Saccharomyces cerevisiae S288C: one gene and its partner. The gene in region 2 interacts genetically with the main gene of each other region. Each region holds a gene or a part of one and is shown on either strand. Other genes may lie near its edges. The genes, in order: SUL1 and VSB1.

Region 1 (16,783 bases), on a different chromosome or scaffold from region 2:
TAACGCAGAAGTATAGCTACAAAAATTACAGGGAGGATACTAACTAGTTCCCCTAAACCCGCATACTCTGGTGGAATATGAAAGTCAACAAAGGCACCAGCCGCCAAAAGGATAGCAAATAAGTTGTAAGTAAAACTCCATAAGAAATTCAATTTGACCCTAAACATGGCCTTTTGACTTACAGTTATCATAGTCAAAATATTGTTGAGCTTTGGCTTTAACATAACTACATCAGCAGCTAGCTTGGCAACCTCACTTCCCTCATTGATATGAACTCCAATCGTTGCTTGAGTCAAACCAATTGCGTCGTTTGTTCCGTCACCGCAAAAAACAACAACCGGTCTTTTTGACTGCGAAGAACTATCGCAATTTCTTCCTTCGACAATATCCTTAATATATTCACTCTTTTCTGCAGGCGTTGCGTGAGAACGAATATTGGAGCTTTCAATTCCAAGACGGGCTGCCATAGAACGAACGGCTCCATCGTCATCCCCTGATAAAATGTGTAGTGAAATCCCTCTTTGGCGTAACAAGTTAATAGTGGAGACAGCATCTGCCCGTAAAGAGTCCTCTAATGCATAAACTGCAGTGACTGAACCATTAACACTAAAACAGAATACAGAATATCCTTGTTCAAGGGCTTTTCGAACGTCAGGATCATTGTTATGACCAAGCCAACGACAGTTCCCTCCTTGTAACTTCAAACCAGAGTATGATGTTCCTTCTACCCGCTTACCAGTCACAGCTTTTGTATTAGAAACATTTTGAGCAGAAACACCTTTTTCTTTGAGATAGGATGCTATTGCCATGGAAACTGGGTGTTTTATTCCTTCAGTTAATCCAAGCAACAAAGATTGAGAATTATGACGATCACCCCTAACAGTTTCATGTACTACAGTAAGTTTTCCTTCAGTTAGGGTACCCGTTTTATCGAAGACAACATGCGAAGTGTTGTGAGCAACTTCTATACTCTCTGCTGATTTGAAGATTACCCCTCTTTTCGCAGCGACGCCACTTGCAATAACAAATACGATAGGAACGGCAAGTCCAATCACGCAGGGACACGAAACGATAAGTACCGTAATGGCATATATAATGGCCTGAATTACGGCATCGGAGCGGGATTGCTTTTCCACACGGATTCCAACCGCTATCCAAACGCAAAAGGTGACGACAGTGATTCCAATGATAGTTGGCACGAAATAACTTGCAATTTTATCAGCGATATTTTGGATCTTTGGCTTAGTTAATTTTGCTTCATCAACCATCGTGGCTATGGTACTAATAGTATTGTTCCCTGGAAGCTTGCTCAGCTTCACAAACAAAGTACCAGTGCCATTCACCGATCCTGCAACAACAATTGATTGACACTTTTTCGGGACTGGCATAGATTCACCTGTGATTAACGCTTCGTCGACTTCAGAAGACCCAGAAATGACTGTTCCATCAGTTGGGATTCTTGAATCAGGTAAAACCTTAAAAATATCGCCATATTGGAGAAGTCTAATATTAATTTCCGTCTCTTTACCAGTTTTATCCACCAGAATAGCAGAAGAGGCCTGTAAGGAACGTACTGATATTGACTTTACAGCCCTATGTCTAGCTAGTTCACTCACAAAGCGACCAACCATGATGAGAGTTACAAGCAAAGAGCTGGTTTCAAAAAACTGCTCCGTAGATAACGGGCGTCCAACAACGAAATATCCAAATGATACAATCGAAAATATGTAGGCAGCGCTAGTGCTTAAAACTATTAGTAGATCCATTTCAATGAGCCTGGAAAATATCAAACTCTTCAAGGCATTTAAGTAAAACGGTCCTGCAATAACAAATTGAATAATAGTTGCTAGCACCATTGACGCGGAGATAGTGGAAATTTTTTCACGAAGCTGTGGAGCCCAAGCCATCACGAGAATCGGGATCGTCAATATTATGGATAAAGCGGTCGTGCAGCCTACACGAACTAAATGCTTCCTTCCCACTTCAATGGTTGGATGACAACTGAATGGAGCAATACTAACAGGCACGCTCCATCCTTCATTGACAAGATCTCTGGCACCTATAACCTTTGGGTCAAAGTAAATACGAATGATATTTCTCTCAACAATTTTCAGCTCTGTGACACCTTGTGGCCATTCCTCATTAATAAAATCTTTTGCTGCATAAGGAACAACAACATCTATAGTTGAACCATGATTTGAAATCTGTTCGTACTTGAATTCAGTAGTTTTGCTCAAGTGCTTGATAACATCCTTGACAGATCCCTGAGCAAGATCCAGATTAAATTCAGCTTGCGATAATATTAAACTGGTCTTCAAACCGTGAACACATTTGAGCGCGCCAAATGATTTCTTAAGTTTTGATTCACAACCAGTACAGGACATTCCTGAAACACTAAGAACAATGTGCTCGGTACCGGTAGATCCTGCCTCAAGATTAAGATGATTTTCAATTGGTTCCATTGATACGATTCTTGAAATTTCACTCGAAGAGTGTCCAGAAATAGTTGAGGTAACAGCACAATCCTTCATTTTAGTGCAACAACTTTTAGAACAAACAAAATCAGCATGGCCATTGTCATTGCTCAACCTTTCTTTGTCTCCATGGGTCTTTTTCTTTGTTAAACATCCAGAACTGTTGCGGTAGGAGTATTTTGTCTTTTTAGAAGCACCCTCCCCGCTACAAAAACGCACCTTTGGGAGACAACAAGATTCTTTTCCCAAAGTACGCAAATAGTTACAGATACAACCTAAATTTTTCAAAATTGAGGAGTAACGATTGTACATTCTAGAGTACTGTTCGCTGAAGAACTTCTCGCTTAAACTGTCGGTAGAGCTACTCCCAGAAATTCCAACATTGGTGCTACCTTTAAAAGTCCTCTTTTCACAGCTACGAGATGCAATCCGCTCAACACATGAAATGTTGCAGCACTCAGGCTTACTGGAAACCTCAATTTTCTGTCTGCTAACTTTACAACTTCTTTTCTTGAGTGTAGAGTCACTTGATTCGATGCAAAGCCTACCCTTCCCTGTGTGTTGGTTGGAATTGGTATTGCAGCGAGTTGTCTCTCTAATATCATGAATAGATTGCAGACCTTCAGATTTGCTTGGAACAACTTCAAAGCTGGTCAGCAATTGTTCTTTAGAAGATACAGCTTCGCAGCTGCCTGTAACTTCCTCGACCATCACTGAAGAATCTCTAACGCAGCATCCATCAACACAGGATTCATTGGTGTGGTCACCACCTGTTTGAGCATCGCCGCAACAGCTGTCCACATCCAAGCCAGTCTCAGTGTCGTTCACTTTCTCAGCACAACATTCATCTACACGGGATTCATTGGTGTGATCACCACCGGTTTCAGCATCGTCTACATCTAACCCAGCCTTAGTCCTATTCTCGCCATGATGGCATATCTGCTCAGTCTCACTCAAACATTCCTGAGGAGTAATTTTGGGCCGATTGGTACAGTCTCGCTGGGAGACCAATCCCAGATTGTCATTAGCATGCATTTCTATGGATCTACGATGACACTCGCCTCTATTATCTTGCATAGCATCTATTGATATGTTCTCGCTATTTACCACTCCATACTCGCCATCGCTGGTACCTAAACCGGAGAAGAGTTTTTCCGGCTTCATCGTTATCAGCAGCTTTGGGCTCTTTCATTGTATAAATCCTGGAAGCATCTCGAAAATATCTTGCTTTTATATTTATAATTGCACCTTATTTATGCCAAGTGTAGGCTTTTCATGCGATTTTAAAGAAAAATTCCTTGTTGGCGCCTAAATTTTGATTACCTAACCCATACATTCGTTCAACCTTATATTTTTAGAAAGGCCTGTTATCAGATCATTTTCCGAAAACTCTTCAGAACCAATTTCAAAAAGACAACTATTTGACACTTTGTTGGTTTTCTTCAAAACAGTGATGGATTCATCCGCTCGAGGAGCTAAAATGGGGAATGAATTCCTTCCAAATAGAAATAGTACTTACTTCATTGTATTGTTGGAAAATATAAATCGATATTAACAATAAGAAAATTATTCCATTATTGATTTATGAGATTAAAATCACACAGCCTACATACAACTCAATAACGTTATCTGCCTTGCAAAACTGCCTCTGTATATATATCGATGATCTTCAAAATATACTATTTTAAGAAGTGTTTTAATTGAAGGATTAAAGTACAGGGTAACTTTTTAAAATTCATTGTATTGCTAAAATAGTATTTTTCTTTTCAGATTCATAACAAAACATAATTTCTTCCACATTAGGAGAGACAAGCCGTCCAAACTCTTTCCGCCTAAAAACCATGAAATAAATTCAAAAAAAATTAGGAAAATGTTGCTCTATCTAGCATAAGCTTAATACTTAAATGCATTTTTATTTTTATTTTTGTATTTTCAAAGGACATTTGTAGAAAATAGGCTCAAGCTCAAGTTAACTTCTAGACCATGTCTTTTCAGCGCCTTAAACTACTGAAAACGGCCCTTTTCGTGTACTAATGCTTTCAGGAAATTATAAAATTTATTTTTACTTTCGCCATTCAACATACTCAAAATAATAAATATTCCAGCTATTTGATGGTAATCTACATTAATAACACAATTATCTTTTCATGTATAACTAAAAACAGGGGGGGTAATTAAAGTACTTACTATCTACTACACTAAACGTCCCATTTAGAAAAATCGGGTATATCGATATGAAAAAACGGTAAATTTGTCCCAGTTGCAGCACATAATGTTTCATAGTTACTGTAAGATGTGCTTATACGGCTGTCTTCATCAGTATAATCCACATCATCCTTCAAAACTTTTGCAACGTGAAAACTAGAATGGCCAGCGATAATAGAGTCGTCACTATATTCCTCATTTGTAGTTCCGAATTTAACACTCAAAAGACTTCTTTTGATCCATGGAGATATAATTCCGGCAAAATGGAATTCGACTTGTCTATCCGCATACCTATTCACAGCTTTTCTCAGATCAACCAGGCTTTGAACAGCGGTTGAATCCACTTGAGCAACTTGGGAAAAATCCAGGCAGACGACTTTCAGTAGCGGCTTTTCATATGTTTCTCCGTTACTGCTTCCATTCGATATCGGTAGGTCACTATTCGTTGTTGCTGAATGACGTTTAAATTTAAATAGTGATTTCAAAGAATCTGGCATTTTCCATTCACCAGGATCATTCCATGGACGGTCTGACTTTTTCCTTAAGGTTATAAGTTGGCCTCGCCTTGTTTCTTCCTTAATACGATCAAATATAATGTCATAATGCCTTGAGCAGTTCACGTAAGTAAAGCTATCACCCAAACGATAGACTATGACACCTGGTGGAGGAGGCCGAACTGTGGTATTGATATTCAATTCTCTTGAGTATCCATGATCGAACGGAACCCACTTTACGCTAAACTTATACTCTGGGGCTGGTAAAACCTCAACAGTAGACTTAACCTGTTTATTCAGTTCATTAGGTAATTCATTAGATGATATCACAGCATCAATATCCTCTTGTACTGTTGGGTTCAATACTTCTGCCACCTCAACACGACCAAGGAATTTACCAGCAGGGAAAGCCTGTTTCAATAGTAACATTGCACATGACCAACACATTGCAAAATATATACCATTTTCAATGGATGAAAATACTGTGATGAACACTGTAACGATAAATGAGATACAATCTAACGGGTTGGTCTTCCAGAAGGTCCAGGTGGTTTTGTAAGAAGTCAGCAAATCAGAAACAGCATGAATAATAACCGCCGATAGTGTCGCTTTAGGAATGAAAAAGAAGGCGTCAGTTAAACAATAAAGTGCTAATAGAACGCAACCGCCAGTGAATACCCCAGAAAACGGAGTGCGCACGTTACATTTTGCTTTCAAAGCAGATCTGGAAAATGACCCAGTTGCTGGATATGAGTGAAAAAATGTCCCTATCAAATTTGTCACACCAATCGCAATAAGTTCTTGGTCAGGGACAACCTTGTAGTCGTTAATTCTACCAAAGGATTTTGAAATAGCGATGTGTTCTAACACCAGAACGATAATTGAAGCAGGTATTTCTGAACTCATATTAGATAGCAGACCGTCTGGGATTTTCATAACTCCCACCTCATTTAAGCCCGAGGGAACTGTACCCAGAATACTGATTGGACGGTCTTTTGAAGATTTGTTTCTTGTTATGCTCCACGATATGGCAGTAAAAACTACTATGACGACGGCATTTCTCATAGCTTGTGCATAGAAATAGAAGGATTTCAGTCTATTTGCTACCTTTGGTTGATTTCGATAATATCTATCTGCCAAAGTTATACCAAATGTACCACACCACCATTTCCATACATAGAGGATTACCAACGGAATCAAGCCAAAAACGGCGTCTAACTTTGTGTTTGGTAAATGTTTCAGAGTGTTAATTACAACCTTATACGTTGCTTCTCTGGTATTCACTAATGAGTTGTATCCCATGAGAGCCGGAATTTGACCCCAGATGATGTTAAATGCGGAACCGGTCATGAAGCCAGCAACAGCATTTAGAGAAATAAGTTCCACTAAAAAGCCTAAACGCAGTATACCCAACCCAGTGGCGACAATCCCACAAAGCAAACAAAGGGTAGTTGCAATGATAGGAGCTGTAACTTCTGTCTGGTCTTCGGGATATTTTTTTAGAACTTCAGCAATGACTTTGGCAGTTTGTAGTGACATTACAGCGACCGGACCAATACAAACATCTTTCGATGTGGCAAACAAAGAATATATAAACGCACCAATAAAGGAGGAATACAAACCATATTCAGGAGATAAACTAGCGATTTGTGCGTATGACATAGATTGGGGCACGAGTACGCAGCCAACTGTAATTCCTGCCACTAAATCAGCATAGCCCCACGTAAAGTTATAATGAGGAAACCATTTTATAATAGGAAAAAGAGATACGAGGTAACTTCCTGCCGATTTCGCAGTTAGATTGTTTTTGATAGAATGATCATAGTACTCCTTCAAAGTGACTGTGCTCTCTTCATACGCTGGAATGGAATCGTACAGGACATCTGATAGCTCATTTTTCGTTACCCCAAATTTCTGCTTACTACTATTAACCTTCCAATTTTCCTCATCACCATTGTGAAGTCCGTCTCTGTTTTCTGCCGCCTCAGATTCCCTATATGTGCGGTATTCTGATTCAAATACTTCGATATCAGCATCCTCCTGATTATGCACATATTCAGTCGAGCTCTTACGTGACATATTCTTTCCGAGTATTCTGCAGGGATTTATTTTTATTTTTAAAGCTATTGACCTGGTTTTGAGACGTTAATGTCAGCTAATATACTTTTATATAATCGGTTTCACAATTTTAAATCGAAAATTTTTCTACAATAGAAATATTAAGTTTGAGCAGTACAAGATCCATGTGCATTACAACACATTTTACTTCACTATTTATATTATTCTTTTGGTCTTTGTTTCTTTTTTTCACAGTGCATAATTTCAAATGACAGTGTTCGAGAAAAGACATGAACAGGTAGAAGTGTTCAAAATTATTATGGGTCTAATTTGACAACTTGTTCGTTATCGCTTGCTGCGTGGGGAAGGTGTGGAGTTTTTCTGGGATCTGTGACTCAAATTCCGATTTGCAAAATTGCAAAGCCGCACTGTGGTTCCAGCGAGACTATAAGAAAAAGTCAGATTTGGACAATTACACGAGATCTTTATTAAAAAAAGTGCACTCGAGGTGGCGGTAACACAAAAAAGTGGGGGGACTTTACAGCAAGTTTTCTGAAGCCTTTTTTCATTGGTTTGTGACTATTTTAGGTTATCACAGCCACATCTTATTCACAGATTATGAAAGTAGTATGTATTTAGTTAAAGTTTACAGAGGATAAAAAAACTATAGAGATAGTTGCATTCGCTCACAGTTCAGCACTGTCGGTCAATTAGAAACGTTGCAATTCCACGAAATACAAAAAAAGTTTAGTGTCAAGTAGAATATCTAGTTTCAATACTGTTAATGTATCAATTGAGTCGGTCAAGGGCATAGGTATATATTGTTTATCTTCTTGTTTTAGGTTTCGCCAGATTGTCTTTAAGGATGCAGAGTATCAGGGCCAATGAAGAGAGTAATGTAGACATTAGATGAGCCCTCTTTGTTGCCTCATCAAAACTCTTTATGACTGTGTTTTTAACTTCGCCATGTAAAGATCCAATATATGAGGAGTTTGCACTAAGCTGAACAATAAGTTTCTTTATCTTGTTTTCATCCAGTAGACCTTTCAAATTACTACGCAATAAACCTGCGAAAGATAATTGAATGACGCCAGCTGAAATTGCAACACCCCATACAGATCCAATACTACGGAATAAATATAAAGTTGATGTCGCAGTAGCTTGGTCACTCTTAGAGAACATAAATATGAAAGTAAACAAGGTCGTAGGAAAAGTGATACCTTGTCCTAGATTTGCAGGTATCAAAAATAGACCAATCAACCAGTTCGGAGAAGTTTTTTCAATAAACAGGAATAAAAAGTTACCCAAAAACATCAAAGAAATACCAATGTAGAGTAATAATCTTAGACAGTTGTACTTGCTCATGGAAAATCCTGTTATGAGACTGCCTACCGGAGTAAATAGGGAAGGAATCGTAAGACGTAATCCTGCTTTTGCAGTGGAATCTCCAAGTACAATCTGAAAGAATAATGGTAAAGTAAAAAGATACGCGTAGCTGGCAAAACCAACAAGTATACTTATCGAAAGTACAACGACACTGTAGGAGGAATTGACCAGCTCCATAGGAATAATCGCTCTAGCACTTGTTTTCCTTTCGTGCAATATGAACAGTAAGAGGATTATTACACTCCCAACTAATAGCAGTAGCACAGAAGGGCTGGTCCATGATAATTTAGAAGTAGAACACCCCAGGCTCAGGTAAAGAAGCTGTAGTGTGAGACCAGTTATAATAAGAATTGAGCCCATAACATCTATGTCCCTGAGTATTTTTCCGGGATTTTGGAATATGCTAGAATTTTGACGATTATATTCTTTCTGATTAGGTACATAATAATTCATTAATATGGAACTAATCACAGATATGGGTACTTGGATGAGAAAACACCACCTCCAACCAATGCTCGACGCTATTGTGCCACCGAAAGACGCTCCACATATGGCACCAAATCCCAAAAGTAAATTCTGAAACGCTTGAAAAATTCCTCTTTTCGAACTTGGAATAACGTCTGAATTTACGATTGTAGAAAGTGTGATCAAGCCACCACCTCCTATGCCTGTCAATGCTCTCATAAAACTAAGCATGTAGATGTTTTTCGAGAAACCACAGGCTAGACATCCAATGGTAAAAGCCCCATTAGCAAAGAAAAGGCAGTTTCTTCGACCAAGTGCATCAGAAAATGACCCATAAAGAGGTTGAAAAGATGTTGATGTAATTAAATACGCAGTGGTGATCCAATTTGAAATACTCATCTGATTAAATTCGTTACCAATCGTTTGGTACGTCGAAGCTGTAACGGTTCCGTCAAAACCGGACAAAAAGACATTAGAAAAAAGAGTAGCTTCAATAATCCATCAATTTGGGATTCTTGAAAGCGCTATATCTTCGCCTTTGTCCAAGTCCTCATCTAAGTCTTCACTGTAGTCGACAGAAGGAATTTCAGTCTCTTCAATACTGCCATAGTTTCCATCCTTGCTTTTCGGTAGTACTTTGTGTTTACTAGATTTAAGCATTGCGAAAAAAAATCTGATTTGGAATTAATGTTTCATTTACTACATTTTAAAGCATTTTGTACCATTCAGAGGCAAGAATTGGCCAATACTGTGTGTTCTTATAACGATAACTAGTATATATATTCTCGAAATTGTATATTTCTGTGGATTTGCACACAATCATCTAATAGCAAATTAGGAAGAAAGCCACACATGCACATATATCGCATCACTTACCGAGCCTTAGAATGTGGTTGCCACACATTAGGACATGTTACCCCCCGCACCTAGCAGAAATATAGTATTAATCTATCAGTGCTCAACACAATGTGATATCAGTACAATTCTTCATGCCATGGTACGTCGTCTCTATTTTCTTTTATATTCTGTTTATTATATCATGTTCTAAAAATGTCATATATACAATTCTGAAAAGGTTTTTGACCCTTACGTAACGCTATTCGGTCAACTACTTGTGAGACATATATTGTTCAAATATGTAAATGAAGAAAAGTACGCCTATTACTAGGATCCACAATACCGTAAAGCCTGTTAAACAAGGAGGAACAATATATATATCATAATTTTTTTAGAAAGAAAAGCCAAAGAAACAGCATTTGCAGGCACAAATCCGTGATAATAATGCATAGAACAATATGTGAAACCCCACAAGGTTACTGGTCGGATGATGAGCGAGCCCAGAGAAACCAACAGACCTCTGTAAACATCACTATGCCTTATCACCACACTTTACCATAATGCATTGAAAGTGCAATTGGAGAAGCCACCAATAGACGAGCTATGATGATATATTTAGCGTCCCTTAAAATATCGACTTATACAGTGGATAACATTTCCGCTCGCATTCCTCGAAGAGCATTATTTCCAAACTACTGTTGAAAAAAAAAAAATACGAAGACGACGCTTACCTGAGCACCCAGGATGTACACTTCGCCACAAATTTTGAGAGGCCTTTTGTTGTGATATTAGTTGAAATATATAACCACTTAATCAGGCAAAAAGACAGCAGTCACTATTTCAAGTTGGTAAAAAAATCCTGTTTTCGCTAATTGTCGATTTGGCCTTTCACCTGGACTTGAAAGCTTCAATTACGGCCTGATACATTCATTCTTTATACTGACCTTTGCCCAATTTATTATCCAGAACTATAGCCATTAGGTTGCAGGCCACTGGGACCACCACTGACTGGAAAATATTCTATTGACGAATTTTCCGCAACTCATCGCTGATTAGTTTATGAACTTATCCCGTCGGAATGAGAAAGTTACATATGCAGGAATTCTCTACAAGCAGCAATAACATGCTTTTATTTTACTGTCGTATTGTAATTGCTTATTCGGTTCCAAACATGTCAGCTATGCCAATATTTTAGAAGAGTGGGAAAAAAAAGAGATGTTATAGACGAACGACAAAAGTTGTGAAAAACTCGAATGGAGTAATGGAGCAAGAAACAAGAATCTGTCATAGTCAATACGTGATTTTGATATGCTTTCAAGCTTCTGAGAACTTCATTCATTACACTCCACCACATATACTATACAACGAATAGCCCAGTCGAAGAGGTTATGATTGTGTTCATTTATTTTTTTACATGACAGAGTCTCCCTATTGATACTAAGCTTGCTGCAATAACTCTTCTTACTAAGAGGTAACTTACATCTTGACTTTTTAATGAAGTTCCCAGCCGATTACCATTATACGTCGCCGTTTCGTTCATGTAAATATTCAAATATACTACACTTTATATCTTTGCTTCTTATATTTTCGCGCGTAGGTTTGCCTAATTACATTTTTATATTCCTCATCAATAAAGCCGCCAACAAAGAGCACAGGGTAGAAACTCTGCTGTCTGGGAACTCGGCTAACGCTTGTAAGCTATTTAATATTCTCAAATCATTTCAACACCTCTTTTTTTTTTTTCAAATATGTACTATTTTCTCTATTTCCATTAAGTTAGTCTTACTGAAGAGTCAAGAATATGGAAGAATTCCTGCGGAATTTTCAATTATTAGAAGTGAAAAAAAAAAAAAAGAAGAACAATGAAATTTAGTCTCACTTTAGCGTGATATATAAAACGTAAAATGTCGAAGCCAACGTAAAATTAAAAACATTTTGATGTCACAATGAAAGAACTCCAAAGTAGAGCTTGAATTATAAATTAGCATTTTACCGATGTCCAGTAAAGCTACCAAAAGTGACGTAGATCCATTGCACTCGTTTCTGGCAGGGTCCCTAGCCGGTGCTGCTGAAGCATGTATAACATATCCTTTTGAGTTTGCCAAAACAAGGCTGCAGCTGATTGATAAGGCCTCCAAGGCATCAAGAAATCCTCTGGTATTGATATATAAAACTGCAAAAACTCAGGGCATTGGTTCCATTTATGTCGGATGTCCCGCATTTATTATTGGAAACACCGCTAAGGCGGGTATTAGATTTCTTGGCTTTGATACCATTAAAGACATGCTAAGAGATAGTGAAACTGGAGAACTAAGTGGTACAAGAGGGGTGATAGCTGGGTTAGGTGCGGGACTATTAGAAAGTGTTGCCGCAGTGACTCCTTTTGAAGCAATCAAAACTGCTTTGATCGATGATAAACAATCTGCTACACCAAAATACCATAATAATGGGCGCGGTGTAGTACGAAACTATTCATCATTAGTCCGTGATAAAGGATTTTCTGGTCTTTATCGTGGTGTTTTGCCAGTTTCCATGAGACAGGCCGCAAACCAAGCCGTTAGATTGGGTTGTTACAATAAGATTAAGACCTTGATCCAAGATTATACGGATTCGCCAAAAGACAAACCTTTATCATCCGGGTTAACCTTCTTAGTGGGTGCATTTAGTGGTATTGTGACGGTCTATTCCACCATGCCCCTTGATACTGTGAAAACAAGAATGCAAAGTTTGGATTCCACCAAATACTCCTCTACAATGAATTGTTTTGCAACCATTTTCAAAGAAGAAGGGTTAAAGACGTTTTGGAAAGGTGCTACGCCTAGACTTGGGAGATTGGTCTTGAGTGGTGGTATTGTTTTCACTATCTATGAAAAGGTCTTAGTTATGCTAGCCTGAAATGTATTATTGTGTACAATATATCATCTAATGTTTTCTACTCGTTATAAGTCTATTTACCAGCCGATCACTTAAAAAAGTTATATATCTCTTTTTATCATAATGAAGAAGATGGCTTATGCTTGATTTTGACTTTGGTTGAGGTATTTCTTTTCCAATTTTTTGACTTGAATGTAGTCGTATATACTCTTCAGGGTGATAAATAGCCCAAGAAATGCCACAAAAACAGCCAACCATGGTATGTTTTGTTTTTCTTCATCCAGACCGTGATTCAAATGTGATTCAAATTTATCTTGTGTCGTTGATTGTGAATTTAGACGAACATCATCGAATTCATTTGGATCCTCTAATTCCATTCTATTTAAGCTTTTATTTTTGCCGACTTTTGAAGTAACATCATTGGGAATCATTGAATAACCATATCCAATGAACGTTAACCCTAATCCAAACCTTGAACCTTGCTTTGCTGCGTGAGATGTGTGTAAAATGTAGGTTATTAAAAATCCAATGAACTGAAAACTCGTGCTTACGATGATATTCCATAATAAATTTGCTATATTTCCTACAGGAAGCCCCTCAATGCATATTTCGTCGTAGTAGATATCTGAATTGTTCAAATCCATTCCATAATACGAGGGGGCCATATCAGCAGCAGCTTCGTCGTATGTAGGTGGTATGTCTTGTTCGTTATTACCTTCAGTCTCTGTGGTATCTGGTTTTGCGCTTAAATTGCTAAAGACACCATCAAACATGGCACCTTGTTGTATATCCGAAGACTGTTGTGTACGTTTCTTAAAAAGTCTATCAAGAATATTAAAATGTCTTCCTATTTTTCCTATATGTCTGGCTGCTTGTTCCCTCAGCTGGTGTGGTACTAGTCTTTCTGTCGTACTATTTCCTCCACTGCTGCTTCCCTCGTCCTCTATGCTATCTTCCTCGTCAGACCCTATTTCCGTTTCCCCTTCTACGCCAGTTTGTGTGTCTCTAGTTCGTCCTGCGTTTCCGACATTTATGCCATCAGTAGATGAACCTGCATGAAGTGTATTCATTTCTTGCCCTATAAGTAGTTCTTGCTCTGGCATAGCGCTTAGTTTCCTAGACTACGTGTTCTTGTTATTCTCATGCTCTTTTTATGTATCTAAATTGGAAGATTTTTATAAAGGTTATGTACTATTCTTCTAAAAAAAGTAGGCGCAAAGGGACTCCGCATCGTATAACACGATGATAATACAAATTCTTCCACGGTTATTTACATCTCCGGTATATTTTATATATGTGTATATATTTTCTATGTATTCTGTGTGTTATTGTTACTGCTACCATTATTGCTATTAGTCAACAATGTCGCTTCGCTATCATGTGGTGCTACTGGAGGTGCTATAGGAAGACTAGGTGTAGGTACCGATTTACTAGCTGCCCCACCTGGGATTACTGGCTGCAGTGTGGGATTGGGTGAATTAGTAACAGTGTGATTGGCAATCGGGTTTGGGATTGAAGGTATCGTCACACCAGCGCGAATGTTACTATTCAGCTTAGTTTTCAGCGATTCTGGACTCGGAAGCATTGCATTGGTGCCACTACTTGTGTCATTGGGCGCTGCTGCGAACTCTTCTTTTGTATTAACTTTCCCAGGCAGTTTAATAGAAAGTAGTAGCGAATGACCCGGAATATGGTCAATAATATAACAAGGAGGTGAAACTGGCTTAGGTCTATCTGGCCTGCTTTTATAAGTGGTTGTGTTTCTCAATTCGTACGATTCCACAGAAGGGCCTACGTCAACACCACCAGGCATTAAAGTGCTAGGTACTGGAGTCCTGAAAGTTCTTGGAATATCTGCAATATCTGGCAGTAAAATCTCTCCTGGTGGCAACGATGAAGCATTTCCTGCTGCTACTGTGTTGTGAACGCCGTTCATAGATGTATTACTTGCAGATGTGCCGGACAATGCGAGCATACCACGTCTATTAGATCTACCTTGTCTTCTTTTCCTTCTTGTGTCTCTGTCCTTATCTTTATCCAATCTCTCTAACTCTGCAGCTGAAATCTGTAATAGGTTTGGAGTAAAAATTTTGCTTTCCGCTGCAGGCCTATAAACATCATCAAGAGTAATCGTTGGGAGCATTCTGCTTCTAATGTCATCATCTTCTATCGCTGATCCATCAAAATTGTAACCTAACAGTGCCAGTGATTTATGATACATATGAACTTGCTCTCTTATGGAGTGAGCAATGGCAGTCACAAACTCACCTGGTAGTTCTAATTCTTGACACATGGACTCTGCAAACTCTTCTGGACAGTTATCACTATTAGAGATGTCCCACTCAAATTGATCGATTAACTGGTTTTGTCCCACGACAATATCCAGCTTGATTCTAATTCTCAAGTCATCACCGCCTAGACGGTCCTGATTCAACTCTATATATGGATTTCCTTGAAACTCCTGAATCTGCTCTTGTATAGATTGACAAATAGTATCAATGTGTTGCTCTCTCGTAGCGTCCTCAAATCGGTAATCTCGCAACATGTCGTCCACAAAGTCTTCAATTTTAATAAGCTTGTCATTTTTGTTCCATAACAAAGTGTCCCTGAGGAAGAATCTGTCACGATCTTGATCGAACTCCAATCTTATGGGAACTAACTGTTCCGATGTCTCATTCATGGCCTGTTTATAGACTTTTAATTTATCCTCTAGGTAATGCTTCCTATTTCCAACTTCTACTTGTGGAATAACTCTGGTAGTTGTATTCGTAATCCCATTACCATACCCTGAGTAACCATTTCCCCAAATACTTGCCGAAGGAATCTTCTGAGAAGTGCTTGTGATAGATTTCATTCTAGTGTTCTTCAAATCTTGATAATACTTCAGTGTATGCCACAGTCTACTAATATACTCTTTATTACTAAATCCATAAATGCTAAACGGATCGTAACCATTGGTTTCTCTTATTAGCGAATATTTGTTAATTTTATCACGCTGGATAATTTGTTCGTACAACAAAGTATCCGTATCTGCTTTTTTGTCTGACCAATAGGTTGGATATGGTAGCTTGGTTTCTGGTGGATCGTATTGAATAGTTTGGTACTTGGGTAAGTTTAATTTTGGAAGTTGAGGAAGTTGGCCAATAGTTGGCTGAACATTGGTGGGAGGTTGTCCACTCATGGATCTAACTTGAGGAACTTGCTGAGATTGCGGTATTTGTCCTTGCTGCTGCTGCTGCTGCTGCTGCTGTTGTTGTTGTTGTTGCTGTTGTTGTTGCTGCTGCTGTTGCTGTTGCTGTTGCTGCTGTTGCTGTTGTTGTTGTTGTTGTTGCTGATGCTGCTGCTGCTGTTGTTGTTGCTTTTGTTGCTGCTGTTGTATTTGCACATGATGCCTAAACTGTTGTTGCTGTTGTCGCTGTATTTGGTTTCTAAGTTGCTGCTGCTGTTGCTGCTGAACCAGCAATTGCCTCTGCTGTTCTAGCTGAGTTTGTGCCGTTTGCTGTCCCTTTTGCTGCTCAATTTGGCGTTGCACTTGTTGTTGTGCAACAGTAATTGCATTCACAACCTGTGGATTATTTTTTGCTATGGCCTGCTGCCTCAACTTGTTCAAAACTTGTTGCTGTGTAGCCAAAGGTAACTGAGCAATTTGTGGAGGCAAATTAATAGGCGCTGGAGCTAAGGGCACTTGACCAATTTGGGGATGTAAGTTGTGTGGTGCTGGAGGAGGAGGAGGGGTAGAAGTCGCTGATTGATTAGCAATGGGTTGAGATTGTTGCGGAGGAGGGGGTGGAGATTGATGCGTTTGCGGTGGCGGTGAAGTTTGTTGTTGTTGTTGTTGTTGTTGTTGTAGACGACTCCTCAGTAACTGTTGGTGTCGTTGCTGAATCATCTGCAATTGTTGTGGTGTGAGGCTCTGATACAGCTGTTGCGGAATTTGCGCCATGTTAAAAGATGGAGTTCCAATGTTGCTAAATATATTTCCAATACTAT
Region 2 (17,385 bases):
TTCCACAAATTAATGATATTGATAATCAAATATCAAGCTTATTGAACGAAGTGACCATAATCAAGCAGGAAAACGCCAATGAAAAAACTCAACTATCGGCAATTACCAAAAGACTCGAAGATGAGCGCCGCGCTCATGAAGAACAGTTGAAGCTAGAAGCTGAAGAAAGAAAACGCAAAGAAGAGAACTTATTGGAAAAACAGCGCCAAGAGCTGGAGGAACAAGCGCATCAGGCTCAATTAGATCATGAGCAGCAAATTACTCAAGTCAAGCAAACCTATAATGACCAATTGACTGAACTACAGGATAAGCTGGCAACCGAAGAGAAAGAACTGGAGGCAGTCAAGAGGGAAAGAACGCGATTACAAGCTGAAAAGGCTATCGAGGAACAAACTCGCCAGAAAAACGCTGATGAGGCCTTGAAGCAAGAAATATTGAGTAGGCAGCACAAACAAGCTGAAGGTATACACGCGGCTGAAAACCACAAAATACCAAATGACCGTTCACAAAAGAATACGAGCGTCCTTCCAAAGGACGATTCCTTGTATGAATATCATACTGAGGAAGACGTCATGTATGCCTAAAAAAAATAATATTCCACTTTTGTTCAAGGAATATCCCACCTCTATTTTATTTTTCTCTTCTATTCTTTGTCGAGTATCATCAAGTTATCCTTTGATTATTTTCACCCTTCCTAATCTACCTCTCTTTGTAACCGTTTTATGTACCAATATTTACTCAATCAACAATTTATCAACCAGTTAGTTATTCTCTAGTGTTTCGTGCTCAAATAACCGAGTAAGATGGACTCTCTTCTGAAGCACTTTTGCGGGCATTTAACCTCAGCTCGTCACGTGACGGTCGATGAAAAATCCAGGGTATTAAAACTTTCCTTTGGTTATATCGGTATATTCTAAATAAAAGAGAAGCTTATTCTGATCCTTTTGATTCCCTGCTCAATTTTTCATTGAATTGTTTATTTTTGTCATTAATGAAGCTTTCAACCCCATACAGTGTTTTTGCATTTTGCATTTGTCTTTTTCTTGCTTCGTATCTTTTTTTCGACTCAGATTGCAAAGAAACGGCCAACTTATTAACTAGCTTGTCGTCATCTGCAATTGTTATCTTACCCGTCTTAGTGTCCTTCTGTACCTTGCCGATTCTACCCTTCTTGGGTACGTTTTTATTGTCTTCTTCATCGGCGGAACTATCCTGTTTGCTCGAATTCTGTGTTTGCGTAGCGAGATTCCGCAAGGTCTTCTCATAACTCAATTTTGCAAGTTGATCATAGGAAATTCCACCTCTTTGGCTTTGCCCAGTCTTCCCTTGAGGATGCCTACGTTCCCACGCATCATATTCTTGGACAGTGTAATGAAATGCTTTCTCTTTTTCAGGACTTTCTGTATCTCCTACTGATTCATCTGCATCATTTACGTCTTCCATACTGTATACTCTTGGTTTTCGATTTGCGCTTACTTCCTGAATCTCTCTGTCAGCCAACTTCCTACTCTTTATAGATACATCTACTCTTTTCCTTTTCAACTCCTTCAGCTTCTCGTCTAATTTGTAAAAATCCATTCTTCGAATACTTTGACAAGATATGGTTTTGCTTCGCTTACAGTTCAATAGAGAAGTCAAACATTGTCATTGAGAGCCCCTCATCGCAAATATTGCTCTTTTAAGGAAAATATAGTAATATTCTAGCTTTTTTGTCATTCTACACGGAAATGTCTGTATTTTTCAAATTTTTTCATTATGCTGTAGCAGATGCCTGAAAAATTTGAAAACTTTGATGAGATGAGGTCACTGTTAAATTTGTAATATTATATGTCACACCTAGCGCTCCTTGAACAGCAAATCATTCCGGAGGATAGTAAAGATTCAAAATGCCATCCCTGTCTCAACCATTTAGACTAGCAACTCTCCCAAAAATTGCTTCATTGAGCAATTTTTCTTTACAAGCAGATTACGTTCAAGTCGCAGATGGCACCTTTAATGAATCTACAAATAACATAACGTTAGGTATTTCCGGGTCATCTATATCTCAATATATTATTAATCCTACACCAAAGTTAACATTCGATTACCCAATACCCTCTACAAATATTATCACGGCATGCAATGCTGAGAAAGGTCAAGCGAACATTGACGGAAATATAGAAGCCAGTACCGATGATGAAGCCAACAACGAGAAGACTATCAACACCCAAAAAAAAAGAAATGTTGAAATTTGGGCCTTTGGTTTAATGGTAAATAAGGGTAATTATACGCTAAATGTTATCACTAAGGCACTGGAAGATACCACTGATACCTCAAATGACCATCTGAGTGAGAGTGATATTGACAATAAAGCATACACGGGTTCAGACGAATTTTTATCTCAGTATAAGATCAAGGCGAAAGCCAAAGTCATGAGTATTAAAATTGACACCAAGAACAGCTTAGTAATTGCAATTTTACAGAACGGGTTGATTGAAATTTTTGATTTTAAGTTAACACTTTTGCATTCATTTGATATATCTTATGATAACTTAAAATATGCTAAATGGTTCACTGAAAATGGAACTGAATATGTTTTTGTTCTCTGTCCATTACAGGATGATAAAGTCTGCTATAAATTGCTCGAGCTAACAGATTGTGGCAGTGGAGAAAGTTCGCCCATAAAAGAATTATCATCTACTATCATCGAAGGATTTTCTTTTGAAAATTCAAAGCTTTGTTATCAATTTGGAAAACTTTACAAATTGAACCAGGGGAAAATATACATTTACTCTTTACCACATTGCCAATTGCAACAAGTTATTGAATTTCCGATGGTGGATAAACTCAGTCCTGGAGATGACTTAATCTCTTTCCAACCTGTTTCAGTAAACAGAGTTCTACTGACCGTAAACAACGTCATTTATCTACTAGACTTACTGCATTGTTCTACTTTAAGCCAAAGAGAATTAACTCACGTGAAAACATTCCAACTATTAAAATCTGCAGTGATCAATTCAGAAAAGTCGCATAATTCAAAAACAATAGCAATTGGTATTTCAACGAAAAATGGACCAAACCCAACGTCTTCCTTAGAAATAATTAATATTGATGTTGGAACTAATACGTTGAAGGACTCATTAGGCAAGAGTTTTCAAGTTGGAAATAATGATAGCTCAGTTATTTTAAAGCCGCTATTTGATGATAAAGACATAAATGACAAGAGAGTGAAATGTAACGACGTCAGCGGGGATTCAAGCGTTCCAGTCCTCCACTGTAATGAAGTTATTGAAAAGCTTTCAGCCCTTCAAGATAATGACATTACATCATTTGATGACATATTTTTCAAAGAACTAAAAATCAAAGAAGAACATTATACTGAAAAAGATAGATATATTTCTGATCCTGGCTTTTTGAATAAAGTTTTAGATCTAATTTTCGGAAAGTTTAGCGGAAATGATTATCCAAAAACTTTAACGTTTTTATTGACACACCCATTGTTTCCATTGAGTCGTACACGCAACTTGCTATCCTTACTAAGAGACCAACCTAGATTATTTAAACAAGCAATTGTAACATGCCCAAACTTGCCATTAAATGAACTACTTGAAGAATTGTTTTCTATCAGAAACAGGGAACTATTACTTGATATCTCATTTAGGATTTTGCAGGATTTCACCAGAGACTCTATTAAACAAGAAATGAAGAAACTAAGTAAATTAGACGTTCAAAATTTCATTGAGTTCATAACAAGCGGTGGTGAAGACAGCTCACCAGAATGCTTCAACCCTAGCCAAAGCACGCAGCTATTTCAACTCTTGTCCCTTGTGCTAGATTCTATCGGGCTATTTTCATTAGAAGGTGCTCTATTGGAGAACTTAACCTTATATATTGACAAACAAGTTGAGATTGCTGAAAGAAATACCGAATTGTGGAATTTGATTGATACGAAAGGTTTTCAGCATGGGTTTGCTAGCTCAACCTTTGATAACGGAACTTCTCAGAAGCGAGCCTTACCCACTTACACCATGGAATACTTGGACATTTGAGTATGCAATGAATTTGATTGTATTGTATAATACCTATATAGAAAAGGAACTAATATATATAGCGTCTACTGTGGTTACTGATAAACTAACAGGCATTTAGAATTTGAAAACATCATATACATTAGATGTGTCCAACAAGAGATACCGGAATGTTCTGAGGGGAAGAAGATGGAATTTAAAGCTAGTTTGAAATAAAATGGAAGATTGTGATTTTTACAATTTGAATTTAAACCTTTTTTCCTCCTTAGGTGAGGTTACCGAATACTTGCGCACGTCTTCATCTGAGCTATAAAGGACCCTTTCTATAAAGGTAACTCTCGTTGAATCCTTACTCACGAGTAAAACTATTTGAGAGCGAGTTCCGTAGTAATCACCATCAGGAATTGAGGCACCTAAGTCATCCCTGGGAGGCCTCCGTAAAGGTGGTACGTATATGGTATTCATGGTTACATTTGGATCTACCATCTGCAAGACATCTGGGTTTGAAATAGTGCTTGGAAGGGAAGACTTCGAGGCGAGTTGAAAGCAACTTGATATTATTTTCTCCTCATCTGATTCAATATTCTCTAAAACTAGATTTTCTAAACTATCACGTGCTACCTTTACTTTTTCCCAAGCCTGCCCTGGTATACTGGAGCTGTCATAAAATTTACCATTAGAAACAACCATGTAAGAATCAAGATCTTTCCTACAGGTAGAACTCAACACATCAAAAGTTCTTCCTAGAGAATCAATAACTTTATATTGCTTTTTGATAACGTCGCCGTAAAAAAAATTAAAATCACCTGTGGACTTCAACCCATCATAGTGACCTTCAAACTTTTTGTAATTATCCCAATCTTCAAAATCTGCTTTATGGATCGACAAAAATATAAATGGTAACAGACCACGGGATCTTGATTTCGTATTATTTTGCTCATTGTCAAGTTTTAAATTAAGAATAGTGGCTAATTTTCCTTCTTTATTTATGCCAGACCAAGTGCCAAATATTTGTTTTTCTGCTGAGGTTTTGGCCAGATCGTAGGGTGAAAGGATAAAATCATTGTTATGCCAGCATGTAGCATGTGTTTTTCTTGCCAAGAATTCGTCTCTGTTAGATATTAAGATGAGTTCATAGTCAGGATGTGCCCTTGTGGCCATTAAAATGCACATTATTTGTTCGTTAGTTTTTGGTTTTTAATACTTTAGCCACAGGTGTGTTAATAAATGCAAGCGTTTCTTTCCTTTTCTGCCTCACTTCATATACTACTATCCTACTCCACTTTCAGGGGGAGACTATTTTTTTAGCGCTTTAGGAATTGAACGAAAAAGTCGAAAGCTAGGCAGATGCCAAGAATATAATGTGAGGCAAAAAAAAAAAAAAAAAAAAAAAAAGAATGATTCTGAAGTAAACGCATTGCGAACTAAATGTTGCTATGCCACTTAATCGAAAATTCTATGAAAAAACCCCTTGATCCCCTTTTCTGATTTATGTTTTTGATATTTTTCGATCCTCTTCTTATTCTTCTCTACTGCCATGTTCAACTTGTTTGGTTCTAGAGAAGAACCTTGAGAATTTGTAGTAACCTTGGATCGTGTCGAATGCATATCTGTATGGTCGTTAATATGCTCTTTTTTAGTTGAGGATACGCGAGAGTCCTCCCTCTTCAAACTTTCAAGCGTCTTCAATTTGACCAACCCGGTTTCAGTTTCTAAACGATACTCTTCTGGAAATGCAGCATCGTGAGCTGAGTTTGTTACTGGGGCGGTAATATCCGGAAGAGCTTTCTTGTTCAAATTTAAACCATCTTCTTTTAAGGAATCAACTGTTTCTGAGTTGCCCTCTAAAGCATTGTGGGTAACCATCTTTTCTATCGAATTTGAAGTTGGCCTTTTTAAAGTACTAGAACTGTGATGAGAATGCACATCTGAATGACGGTGTTGATCATCTACATTACTATCATCTTCCAGTTGCCCCTTTCCAACAATGGTATCGTTTTTTAAAAGAGGCTGTTCTGGAGCTTCAGAATCTTTGAACCCAGTAAAGGGCTCCGGTTTGTAAGAGTCAATAGAAGAAAAGGACGATATGTCTTCATATTCATTATCGGTAGTGACAGTAACAGATGGGACAGGCATAGTCTACGTTGATACGTTGTTATGACTTTGATTTGTTAATGCGGATATAAACTAACCGTACAACTACCCGTTGTGAATTGTTGTGGTAGTATATTAATGAAAAAAGTAACGGTATTTTTTTTCTTTAGGAGAGCAATTAAGTCAAGTGAGGTATGTAGTTGCTCATCGATGGGAATTATCACTTTTCGTCTACGATAGGGGCCCTATCAAAGAAAATCGCGCAGTAAAATTCCGGAAGTGAAGACTCAAGTACAAAAAGTTTATAGTCGAGATGGTAAAAATCCTACAACGGCATCACTTATACAGATGCAGGAGCATCCTGCTTTTATTTAGTACTGGTGTAAATTACTTGCAATACGCCGGCAATAAAAGAAATTAAATAAATATACGTGTACGCTCTCATGCGCTAACAAGTGTGTAACCTAGTAATTCTTTGAATCTGGTGTCCTTGATACACATGACCATTAATGCAACCTCCACGTACAATGCTAGATTGTCTTCTTTCAATTTGTTCAACGAGCTAGAGTCTATAACCCATAATACGGAATCAGTTTCAGTTTCGATGGTGAGCTTTTGTTCTCTAGGCATAGCATTCCCTGGCGCAATGATTTTTCCGAAGCATGTGCCATTTGAAAAAATCTCGTACAAGGTTCCTTGTGGTAGTTCATATGTTGCCTTCAACATACCTGTTTCCACAAGGAAAAAAATGTTGTCTGCATGTAGTAAATGTGATTGACTTGCTAATCTGCGCCTGGTGAAGTAGGGGCAGAGTTGTGCCCAAAACTTGATTTCCTTTTCTCTTACTTTTTGAACTTCAGATATTATATCGGGTCGGTACTGCTTTAATGCAAATAACAATATAGGCAGGACAGGTTCATCATCTTTGTACTCCTTTTTGAAATTCTTCACTGCTTGTTCGTCGTTTACAAATACATTCTGTGCTACAGAAAGTATTTGGTAATTACGAGGAGTATTGGTTGGTAGTGACATTAAGTTTCTCGCTGTGTCTCCATTGCTTCCCCTGTTTAAACCATTTCCTATTGTATCAATTTTTTTGTTTTTAGTGGCTGCAATTACTGCGGATACGACATTATTTTGCTTTCCTTCTTCCAATCTTTCTTTCGCCTTTTTTCTTAATTGTTTATATTGAAAAAGGAATTCGTTTTCACACCATTCCAACGCACTGTTTAAATCAGCAAATAATTCCACATCGTTTAGTAATCCCACATTATTGAAGGCGTTGTAAATACGGTCCCTTTCTTTGATTGAAGATATGATTAGTTTGATTCTTTTGGTTTCCGTGAATCTTTTAATTCTATTGAAACCTTCTGCCGCAGAATAGTCAATATTGTCGGCATTAATATTTTTAAAGTCCAATATTAAATACTTTATTCTGCGTTTTGTTGCATCTTTGTTACTTATTTGCAGCAATCTTTCAATTTTCTCTTCAATAGATATGATTGTTCCGAAAAACAGAAGGTTTTGGAGCTTTAAAACATATATTTGTTCACCAATTCCATCCAAAAATTTTGTTTGAACGTAATCACGATATACTGTACTTCTTGCGACGTTCCCATTATATTCACCGTTAATGGTTTGTAATTTCGTACTATCCACCAAAAACGAAAAACATGCAATTAAAATGCCAACGATGATACCTAGGACAAAATCAAAGATACCCATCGTGAAAACAATAATGACAACAGTCAAATATTCGAATCTATTCAATTTATTCCATGTATCGACCAACGCTTCCACTAATAACTCGTAGCCTAGTAGGAAAATTAGAGAGCCCACTATACAGATTGGAATGAATGATATTATGACTGGTCCAATGATCATAATACAGATAGTCAAAGCTATTAAAAGGAACCCAGCGAATGGCGAATCAGCGCCCGCCCTAATAAACAGAACACTGTTGGTATATACCAAGTAATTTTGGACAGAACCTAATAATCCACTAAAAAAGTTGGAATAACCATGTGCAATCAATTCTCTGTCAACATCATACTTATCCATTTGTAGTGACATAGCCAACGCAGGAACATTTATAGGAACATGTAGGATACCAAAAAATGTCAATGCCATCATCGTTGGTATTTGTTGCAAAACTAGTGACCAATGAACTTTATGGACATTAAATAATCTATAATGGTCATACCATTTACTATCTGAGTTGGCAATAGGAAAAATCCATCCAGCTTGTCTCAAAGCATCCAAGGATAATGTTGGAATGATCGCAACAATAAAATGAAACAAAACTAACGTCAAGATGTAAAAACTTGGCAAAACGAGTGAGTTCTTAAAGTAGCGTTGAGTGCCGATTAAAACTACAGTCAATAGTACAGGTAATAACCATTTCGCTAATGTGTCATAATCCGTAAACAGCCCTGAAAAAAAAGGCCATGAATATTCAAATTTCGCCACCCTCGTTGTGACTTCAATTCCTGTAATTATCAAGAAATAACCAACACCTCCAATACAGCCAATCAATATGTGTCGTGGAAAAAATCCCACTATCTTTCCTAGTCGTAGTTTACCCAATGCATAGAAAACGACACCTGTGAGCATCGAACTTATCACATAACAAAATATCGTTGTCGTTATGATTTCGTCATCATTACCTGCTAATGCCTCTTTTATAGCTAATGCCATTGTATGATAAAACGGAGTAATTTCAATCATTTCACTCCCAATCCCGGAAGGAAAACTCGACCAGCCTCCGGAGTACACGGCTTGTGATATTATGGTGGAAATATAAAACATGGATATACCAGTGGGCCCTAAATGAGAAAAAACTGGCTCTGTGATTGGAAAAATGATCATACCATAAGATAAGGCATCTAAAATGTTCAAAAGCAAACCTAACACTGCTGCGGGCAGATAATGTGCAAATTTGGAAGGAAATGACGTACACATATGCCACAAGTTTCTTGGCCTAAACCTTAAATTATGGGAGGGACGAAGTGACTGATATCCGCCCGCGTAACCATCTTCTAATTCCGGTAGTGAACTATTCTGTAGTCCTCGATTTCGGTCATCGTCCACGTTAGACGATGCTGGGCTAAGTAGCAATCTGGAGTACTCATCTGAATATTCTTCATCAATATTCTCTTCTATAGTACGCATAGATTGATCATCTTTTCTATCACCATTGCCTATAATGTCCATGTAATCCTTAATTGTGGGAGAATTTTCTTCCACAGAAGAGGAGCAAAATTCATTGGATAGTTGAGCTGTCTGCCTATGCAAATTTTCTGATCCATGTATCACTTTAGGATGTTGTTTGTTCGAGATGGGAAGTTTTGAATCCGACAAATTATTGATCATAGGTGAGTTTCCACCAGTAAAAAATCCGCTCATGTATGAACGGCATAATGGAGGAGACATTGCGCTAACACTCGCTCTATGCATCTTGTTCACAGATGAGTCTTGATTTATTCCTAAAGAAACTGATATGGCCTCCGAAAGCGACGAATTACTCCGGCGTCTCCTAATAGTCCTTCCCATATTTCTAAATTAAATTTTTGAGATTTTAAACTGTCTTGCTTATAGACCGGTGGTAGCTCTGAAATGAAACGATTCTTTTTGATTGTTATCTGGTTCCTTATCAACTCTGTTACCTTATTGAAAAAATAAAGAAGGGCTGTGAGATGGAAAAAAAAAAAAAAAAAAAAGAAAAAGAATGCAAAATATTATTTAAAAAGGGATAGCTTGCCGAGATTACTTGTTGGAGCCACAATTTGAAATCACCTCAAGAAATAGAACATTAATATGATTCAACTGTGACTGTTATATATATAGTCATAGTCCCACACATTTTTTGGGATCCACTCAGGGACCGATACGTGGGAAAAAGAACCTTGATAGCGCGAACTTCCTAGGGAATTTTTCATTTTGCAGCATAAGGATAGATAGATAAATAGATAGATAGATAGATAAAGAGAAAAAAAGCGAGATAAGAAATTAACTAATCAATCGGCTGCAGTATTCCATGTGATATCTACCGAAAGGGTTTCATATCGTAATTCGAATCCTATAGATAAGTAACCTAAGGGGTCAGCAGATTGAAAACTTTTATTATATACATATATCTATATAGATTAATATCCGTTTGTATCACCGCATTTCTTGGTTCACTCGTCAATTATAAGAATACGATTGCGCTCGTATTAAGCACTGACGTGCTTTTCGTGTATTTTGGCGTATCTACCTGAAGGATCTTCGGCACAACCCCAATCGGCCTTTGGAATCCATCTCATGACAGTGTCTGCCGCAGTCTTTTGAGGAAACCAAGCATCAAACTTCAGCCTGTACCAGTAAGCTTCTTTGGTGGTTGGAATATCGTCGCCCCAATCAGCCTTTGGATTGGCAAACATGGCGTCAGAAATGGCCCTTTCAGCAGTGTCTCTTAGGCCGTCAATCCATGAGTAGCCAACACCATCGGAAAATTGTTCCTTTTGTCTCCATAAGATTTCTTCAGGTAGGTATGGCTTAACATCTGGTTCATCTGTAGTGTCGAATGCCTTTCTTAAAATGTATTTTTCGATACGTCCTTCCTTTGGCTTGATCATCTTTTCATTTGGATCAATGTTCATACATAGCTGCAAAAAGTCTTTGTCTAAGAAGGGAACACGAGCTTCTAGACCCCAAGCCATCGTGGACTTATTAGCTCTCAAACAATCTGCCAAATGCAAGTTCTTGACACGTTGCACAGATTCGGTGTGAAATTCTGCAGCAGAAGGTGCTTGTGCGAAATATAGATAGCCACCGAATATTTCGTCCGAGCCTTCACCAGAAAGAACCATTTTGACACCTTGGGCCTTAATCTTTCTAGATAGTAAGAACATTGGTGTAGAAGCTCTGATAGTGGTAACGTCGTAAGTTTCCAAATGGTAGATCACGTCGTCCAAAGCATCCAAACCTTCTTGTAATGTAAAAGTGTGTTCATGGTGGATAGAACCAATGAATTTGGCGACTTTTCTAGCCGCTTGTAAATCAGGTGCATTTGGTAGACCAATCGCAAACGAATGCAAACGAGACCAACCGGATGTGTGTAGATGGCCTTGGTCATCGATACCTGCAAGTTGCTTCTCGTCAACATTGTTGTCTTCGTTAGCATCAGCATTAGCTTTTTCCGTTTCACGAGCAGCAATCGCAGCAATCAAAGAAGAGTCCAGCCCACCGGATAGAAGAACACCGTATGGAACTTCAGCCATTAGCCTCTTTCTAACGGCCTTTTCTAAACTGTGTCTGATAGCATGGTAGTCAACTGGGGTGGATGGGATACGCTTTTCATCCAACCAGTCTGGGGTAAAGTAACGAGTAATCTTGTCCGTTTCAGAATCGTAGACATGACCAGGAGGGAACGAAATGATACTGTCACAAACGTCAGTTAGACATTTTAATTCGGAGGCAAAATAAACGGTCTCTGGAGACTGAGAAGAACGCCCCATGTATAAAGTGACAACACCGATAGGGTCTCTTGCAGCGACAATACGGTCTTTCTTGGAATCATACAGACAAAATGCGAACATACCGTCCAGATATTTTGGAGCATCGATATCATGTTCCAAATATAACGGTATGATGGGTTCACAGTCACTGAAAGTTTGAAACTTGTAATCAGAGCACATCTCCCTTAGTTGGATGTGGTTGTAGATCTCACCATTAACGCCAAGCATATATTCGCCATCAGCTGAAGTGATTGGCTGGGCACCGGAGTCTAAACCAACAATAGCCAACCTCTCGTGAACGAAAATGGTGGAATTCATAACGGCATTTCCTGACCAATCTGGGCCACGGTGTCTGATTTTTTTAGATAGTTGTAGAGCTTTTGGTTTGAAGTTGTGAATATCTTCATGCTTGAAGGCTGCAAAGATACCACACATATTGTATTGTAGTGAGTATTTGTGTTTTGGTGAGCTTAACTGGGAAGCAAAAAAAATAGTATAAAAGTTAAATTAGAATAAATGAAACTAAGCAAGTGGCAAATCTTTGAAATATGCGATTCAAAGTCATAATTTTTTCAAGAAGAGAGGCTGGATGAGGCTTTACTGATTTTCTGGAGAAATCTTGCCATGAGTCAATGCTAAGAAAATTTGCAAAAACCCGCGCCGTGCGGCACCCATATGTGAATAAAGCTTTACTAGTAGATAGAAAATGTAGACCATTCCTGCAGGGTCCATACTACGGACGTATGGCTTTGTGAATCGTTTCACAAAGCCAAAAGAATGAACCCAATACGCAAGGTCCAGTTATGCAGAGAGCAGCAGGATAGCGGCTGTTGCACGCAACGAGACTGTTCTCTCATGTTTTCCACGATTTGATATATCCCCCTCTTAGTAAATACAGAGCCGTTCGAACGGTTTCTTTAGTAAAATCCAGGCTCCACCTTGATGGGAGGCATGATGAGTTCCAATTAGGAATGAGCAGGAGCTCACTTTAATCTTGTTATCGCAATGTGGAGTTAGCCTTAAGAACGTGTCCAAACCTCTTATGTATTGTTTTGTTCGTAATTTGATCGCTTTGTACGTGCAAATCGCTCTCTGCCCACAGCAGGAAGGACCACATAAGTGAATAAGTAAGTGGTGGTTCTATGATTTATCGGGATCTTATATTTGCATTCTAAAAAGTAAATGGTCTCTAGCGGGATCGAACCGCTGATCCCCGCGTTATTAGCACGGTGCCTTAACCAACTGGGCCAAGAGACCTATTTTTTTCGGAAGTCACTGATTAATAGTTTGATAATACAGGTGTAAAGAGTAGTATTTTCATGTGTCGCATTGTGTATGACAACATATGTGCGTTCGAAATAGATATAAGGCTTCTAATTTTCAAAGAAGGCGGTATCGTTAAGTATATGCATATGTTACGGTTTCACCTTGAGGATTAGAACTCTAAAAAAGGAAATAAGAGTGCTACAAAAAATGACGATTACTTCTTTTTTCGTTCTATGATATCGCCGCTCATTGTTCTATTACATCACCAATCCTTGAAATTTCAGCTTCATTGAATTGATGATGCTTTTAATAGAAACCATTTATGTCATATTTTGAGAGCCATACATGATAATATTCTGGTAATATAATCATAAGTTATTGGTTGTAGTTGGCGTAATATTCCAGGATTACGAATATGTATTTTATTTTACGCCCGCCATGTTGTATTTTTTTATCATAAAATTTTACACCATGACAAATCTAATACCACTGATGCAGTGTACTGTTTATACTTAAGAAATAGGTAAATTTTGAGATAATTGTTGGGGTTCCACAATACTGTCTGTCATCTTCTGTTATTCTGAGTATTTTTTTTCCTTTTAGCAGTTTCTTGTTCGTACCTTGGCCACTGAAAATTCTGGCTGAGACAATTATCAGGAACACTTCTAGTCCTCAAAAGTTCCTTCTCATTTTCTTCTTTATGAAAATATTTTTTCAATCATTGTATGTATGTATTTCTTTTTCCGTTAAAACGCTAAACCAGGGAAAAAAACGACGGCGGGAAACTGAAAAATTTCACAGATGAGGTAAGAAAATTGGCGAAAACAGCTTATAGAGCTTGACACAGAACTTTAACAATTTTAGAGGCAAGAAATAACGCTTGCCTTGGTATAATCAAATATCTCGAATATGTCAACACCCACAGCAGCAGATCGCGCGAAGGCACTTGAAAGAAAGAACGAAGGAAATGTTTTTGTGAAGGAAAAACATTTTTTAAAGGCCATTGAAAAATATACAGAGGCGATCGATTTAGATTCTACACAGTCTATCTATTTTTCGAACAGAGCATTTGCTCACTTTAAGGTAGATAACTTTCAAAGCGCTTTAAATGACTGTGATGAAGCCATTAAACTGGATCCCAAAAATATCAAAGCTTATCATAGACGTGCATTATCCTGCATGGCTCTGCTAGAATTTAAAAAGGCTAGGAAAGATTTGAATGTGCTTCTAAAGGCGAAGCCCAATGATCCGGCTGCTACTAAGGCGTTACTTACATGTGATAGGTTCATTAGAGAAGAAAGATTTAGGAAAGCTATCGGAGGCGCAGAAAATGAAGCCAAGATCAGTTTGTGTCAGACTTTGAACTTGAGTTCATTTGATGCTAATGCAGATTTAGCCAATTATGAAGGTCCAAAGTTAGAATTTGAACAGCTGTATGACGATAAGAATGCCTTTAAAGGTGCAAAGATCAAGAACATGTCTCAAGAGTTTATTTCCAAAATGGTTAACGATCTTTTCCTAAAGGGAAAATATTTACCAAAAAAGTACGTTGCAGCTATTATCTCTCATGCTGATACCTTATTTCGTCAAGAGCCATCTATGGTAGAACTAGAAAATAACTCTACTCCTGATGTTAAGATATCAGTATGTGGTGATACGCATGGCCAATTTTATGATGTTTTGAATTTATTTCGCAAGTTTGGTAAAGTAGGTCCTAAGCACACTTATCTATTCAATGGTGATTTTGTCGACCGTGGTTCTTGGTCGTGTGAAGTTGCACTATTATTCTACTGTTTGAAAATATTACATCCAAATAATTTCTTTTTGAACAGAGGTAATCATGAGAGTGATAATATGAACAAAATCTATGGGTTTGAAGATGAGTGTAAATACAAATATTCACAAAGGATATTTAACATGTTTGCACAAAGTTTTGAGAGCCTTCCATTGGCTACCTTAATTAATAATGATTACCTTGTAATGCATGGTGGTTTACCAAGTGATCCTTCAGCAACTTTGTCTGATTTCAAGAATATTGATAGATTTGCCCAACCACCTAGAGATGGCGCCTTTATGGAACTTCTATGGGCGGACCCACAAGAAGCCAACGGGATGGGTCCTTCTCAGCGTGGTTTAGGACATGCTTTTGGACCCGACATTACAGATAGATTTCTAAGAAACAACAAATTGCGCAAGATTTTTAGATCTCACGAGTTAAGAATGGGTGGTGTGCAATTCGAGCAGAAGGGTAAATTAATGACAGTTTTCAGTGCTCCAAACTATTGTGATAGCCAAGGTAATCTTGGGGGTGTTATTCATGTTGTACCAGGCCATGGTATTTTACAGGCTGGCAGGAATGACGACCAAAATCTAATAATTGAGACATTCGAAGCTGTTGAGCACCCAGATATAAAACCAATGGCCTATTCTAATGGTGGTTTTGGTTTATAGTCATGCCTTTTCTATTTTGCTAGATTATTATCAAAAGCAGAAAGTCTGGGAATAAAAGAAACTAATATGAGCTAACGAAGTGGAGGAAGTAACTTTTTTTTTTTTTTTATAAATTTATACATCTTTCACAAAAAATTTCATAATGTTTATTGTCATGTATCATATCATAATACCTCTTAGAAAAATAAGAAATATCTTCGTTGTTGAACAACATTATTCCCTTCAGCCAGGAAATTATTTAAAAAAACAACACTCACGATGGGGGTCGAACCCATAATCTTCTGATTAGAAGTCAGACGCGTTGCCATTACGCCACGCGAGCTATTGAAATTACACTTGTGTTGAATTACGGGCTCGAGTAATACCGGAGTGTCTTGACAATCCTAATATAAACAGTCTTAGGGAAGTAACCAGTTGTCAAAACAGTTTATCAGATTAATTCACGGAATGTTACTTATCTTATATATTATATAAAATATGAATCATACTAAGTGGTGGAAGCGCGGAATCTCGGATCTAAACTAATTGTTCAGGCATTTATACTTTTGGGTAGTTCAGCTAGGGAAGGACGGGTTTTGTCTCATGTTGTTCGTTTTGTTATAAGGTTGTTTCATATGTGTTTTATGAACGTTTAGGATGACGTATTGTCATACTGACGTATCTCATTTTGAGATACAACAACTTAACTATCTCTAATGCAAGATTATGTTTATTTTATTAACCAAACATAATGAAATAATCGCCATGAAGCGCACAAGATTGGAATATGGGTGAATTTTGCGATAGTTGTGGGAAATTGGTGAATTTTGAGATTACTGTTAGGATTCAATTATCGGTAAAAGCTATAATATTAGTACAGAAAATATACTAAAAGTTCTCCTCGAGGATATAGGAATCCTCAAAATGGAATTGGTGTCCCTATGTAATACAATTACGATTATTTCTCATTCGGTTTTATATGTTTCATTATCCTATTACATTATCAATCCTTGCACTTCAGCTTCCTCTAACTTCGATGACAGCTTCTCATAACCTATGTCACCATCTAACACCGTATATGATAATATACTGGTAGTATGACTACTAGTTGATAGACGATAGTTGAATTTTTATTCCAAAACTAATATAATAGCCTTTACCAACAATGGAAGCCCAACAATTATCAAATTATTCACTAAATTCTACTATGAATATTAAAAAAAGCTTTTGAAGTACATCTTTATTAAAAAATTCTGATCATTACGTATACATAAAAAAAAAAGGAAAGTTCTTCTCAAAAATAATATACTGCTGACAAGAGCACCAGATCGGTAGACTATAATTGATTCTCACTCCAACACACATAATTATATTAGTAAATAATGCCATTGTTTGCAGTGGTTAGCCGTGATTAGTAGATAGTGGTTTCCTTATTCTAACATGTGTATATTTTTATGCAAAATTCATAGTAGAGTAGACCTTAAAAATATTATTCATATAGACTATTGACCTCTACGTTCGAACGGCGTTTGATTCAATTCAAAAATAATTACCGCAATTGTGGGTTGCATTATTTGAGTCTGCAAATGTAAGATGTCCATCTTGGAAACTCCATACAGTGCCTTCAATATCTGACGATTTTCCCCTGGGGAAAAGCTCCTTCAATTTAGAAACGTCGGTTTCAACCGTTTTGAAGGAATAATTCTCATTGGTTGTCTGGTATCTGTACCTTAACAGTATCGTTAGTGGGATAACAAAATCGTCTAATGAAGATTTCAATAACGGCATCATGTACGCTTTGGATGAAAATGGCACCTTCTTCTCAAATATCCGTTGGTTTTTTAAAGTAGACCCATGTATTTTCCTTTTAAACGACATCTTTATAAGATCCCTCTTCTTTGTAATATCGGTTGAGGATAAAATGTCCAACTCTTTTAGTTGCGAATTGGGTACTATATTTAACAGTTTTTTGATCGATTCTTGGAGCATCCCAATGGCAATTCCGCACTCATCATTGTTGTATTGGTTGATTGATAGGAAGAGATAGGTCAAACTCTGTAAATAATTCATAAATAATGCGTCCACTATAC

Evidence for each region.
Region 1: mutations in VSB1 (region 2) and SUL1 are lethal when combined (synthetic lethality), as found in Saccharomyces cerevisiae (one large-scale study listed by BioGRID).

Annotation. Positions count from the first base shown.
Region 1 is NC_001134.8:779,704-796,486, reverse strand, and holds SUL1 (sulfate permease), read right to left. Parts: upstream 7,253-16,783; coding exon 4,673-7,252; downstream 1-4,672. Other genes in the region: cation-transporting P-type ATPase PCA1, read right to left, coding at 1-3,638; VBA2 (Vba2p), read right to left, coding at 8,057-9,481; YBR292C (uncharacterized protein), read left to right, coding at 11,414-11,785; CTP1 (Ctp1p), read left to right, coding at 11,915-12,814; BSD2 (Bsd2p), read right to left, coding at 12,931-13,896; SNF5 (Snf5p), read right to left, coding at 14,103-16,783. UniProt on the Saccharomyces cerevisiae protein: High affinity uptake of sulfate into the cell.
Region 2 is NC_001139.9:734,593-751,977, reverse strand, and holds VSB1 (Vsb1p), read right to left. Parts: upstream 9,654-17,385; coding exon 6,543-9,653; downstream 1-6,542. Other genes in the region: YGR130C (uncharacterized protein), read left to right, coding at 1-584; SYF2 (Syf2p), read right to left, coding at 931-1,578; UTP8 (Utp8p), read left to right, coding at 1,887-4,028; YGR127W (uncharacterized protein), read right to left, coding at 4,242-5,180; YGR126W (uncharacterized protein), read right to left, coding at 5,451-6,143; ASN2 (asparagine synthase (glutamine-hydrolyzing) 2), read right to left, coding at 10,316-12,034; PPT1 (protein serine/threonine phosphatase), read left to right, coding at 13,775-15,316; YGR122W (uncharacterized protein), read right to left, coding at 16,835-17,385. UniProt on the Saccharomyces cerevisiae protein: Amino acid transporter involved in vacuolar uptake of basic amino acids for storage during nitrogen replete condititions. May function as an amino acid/proton antiporter.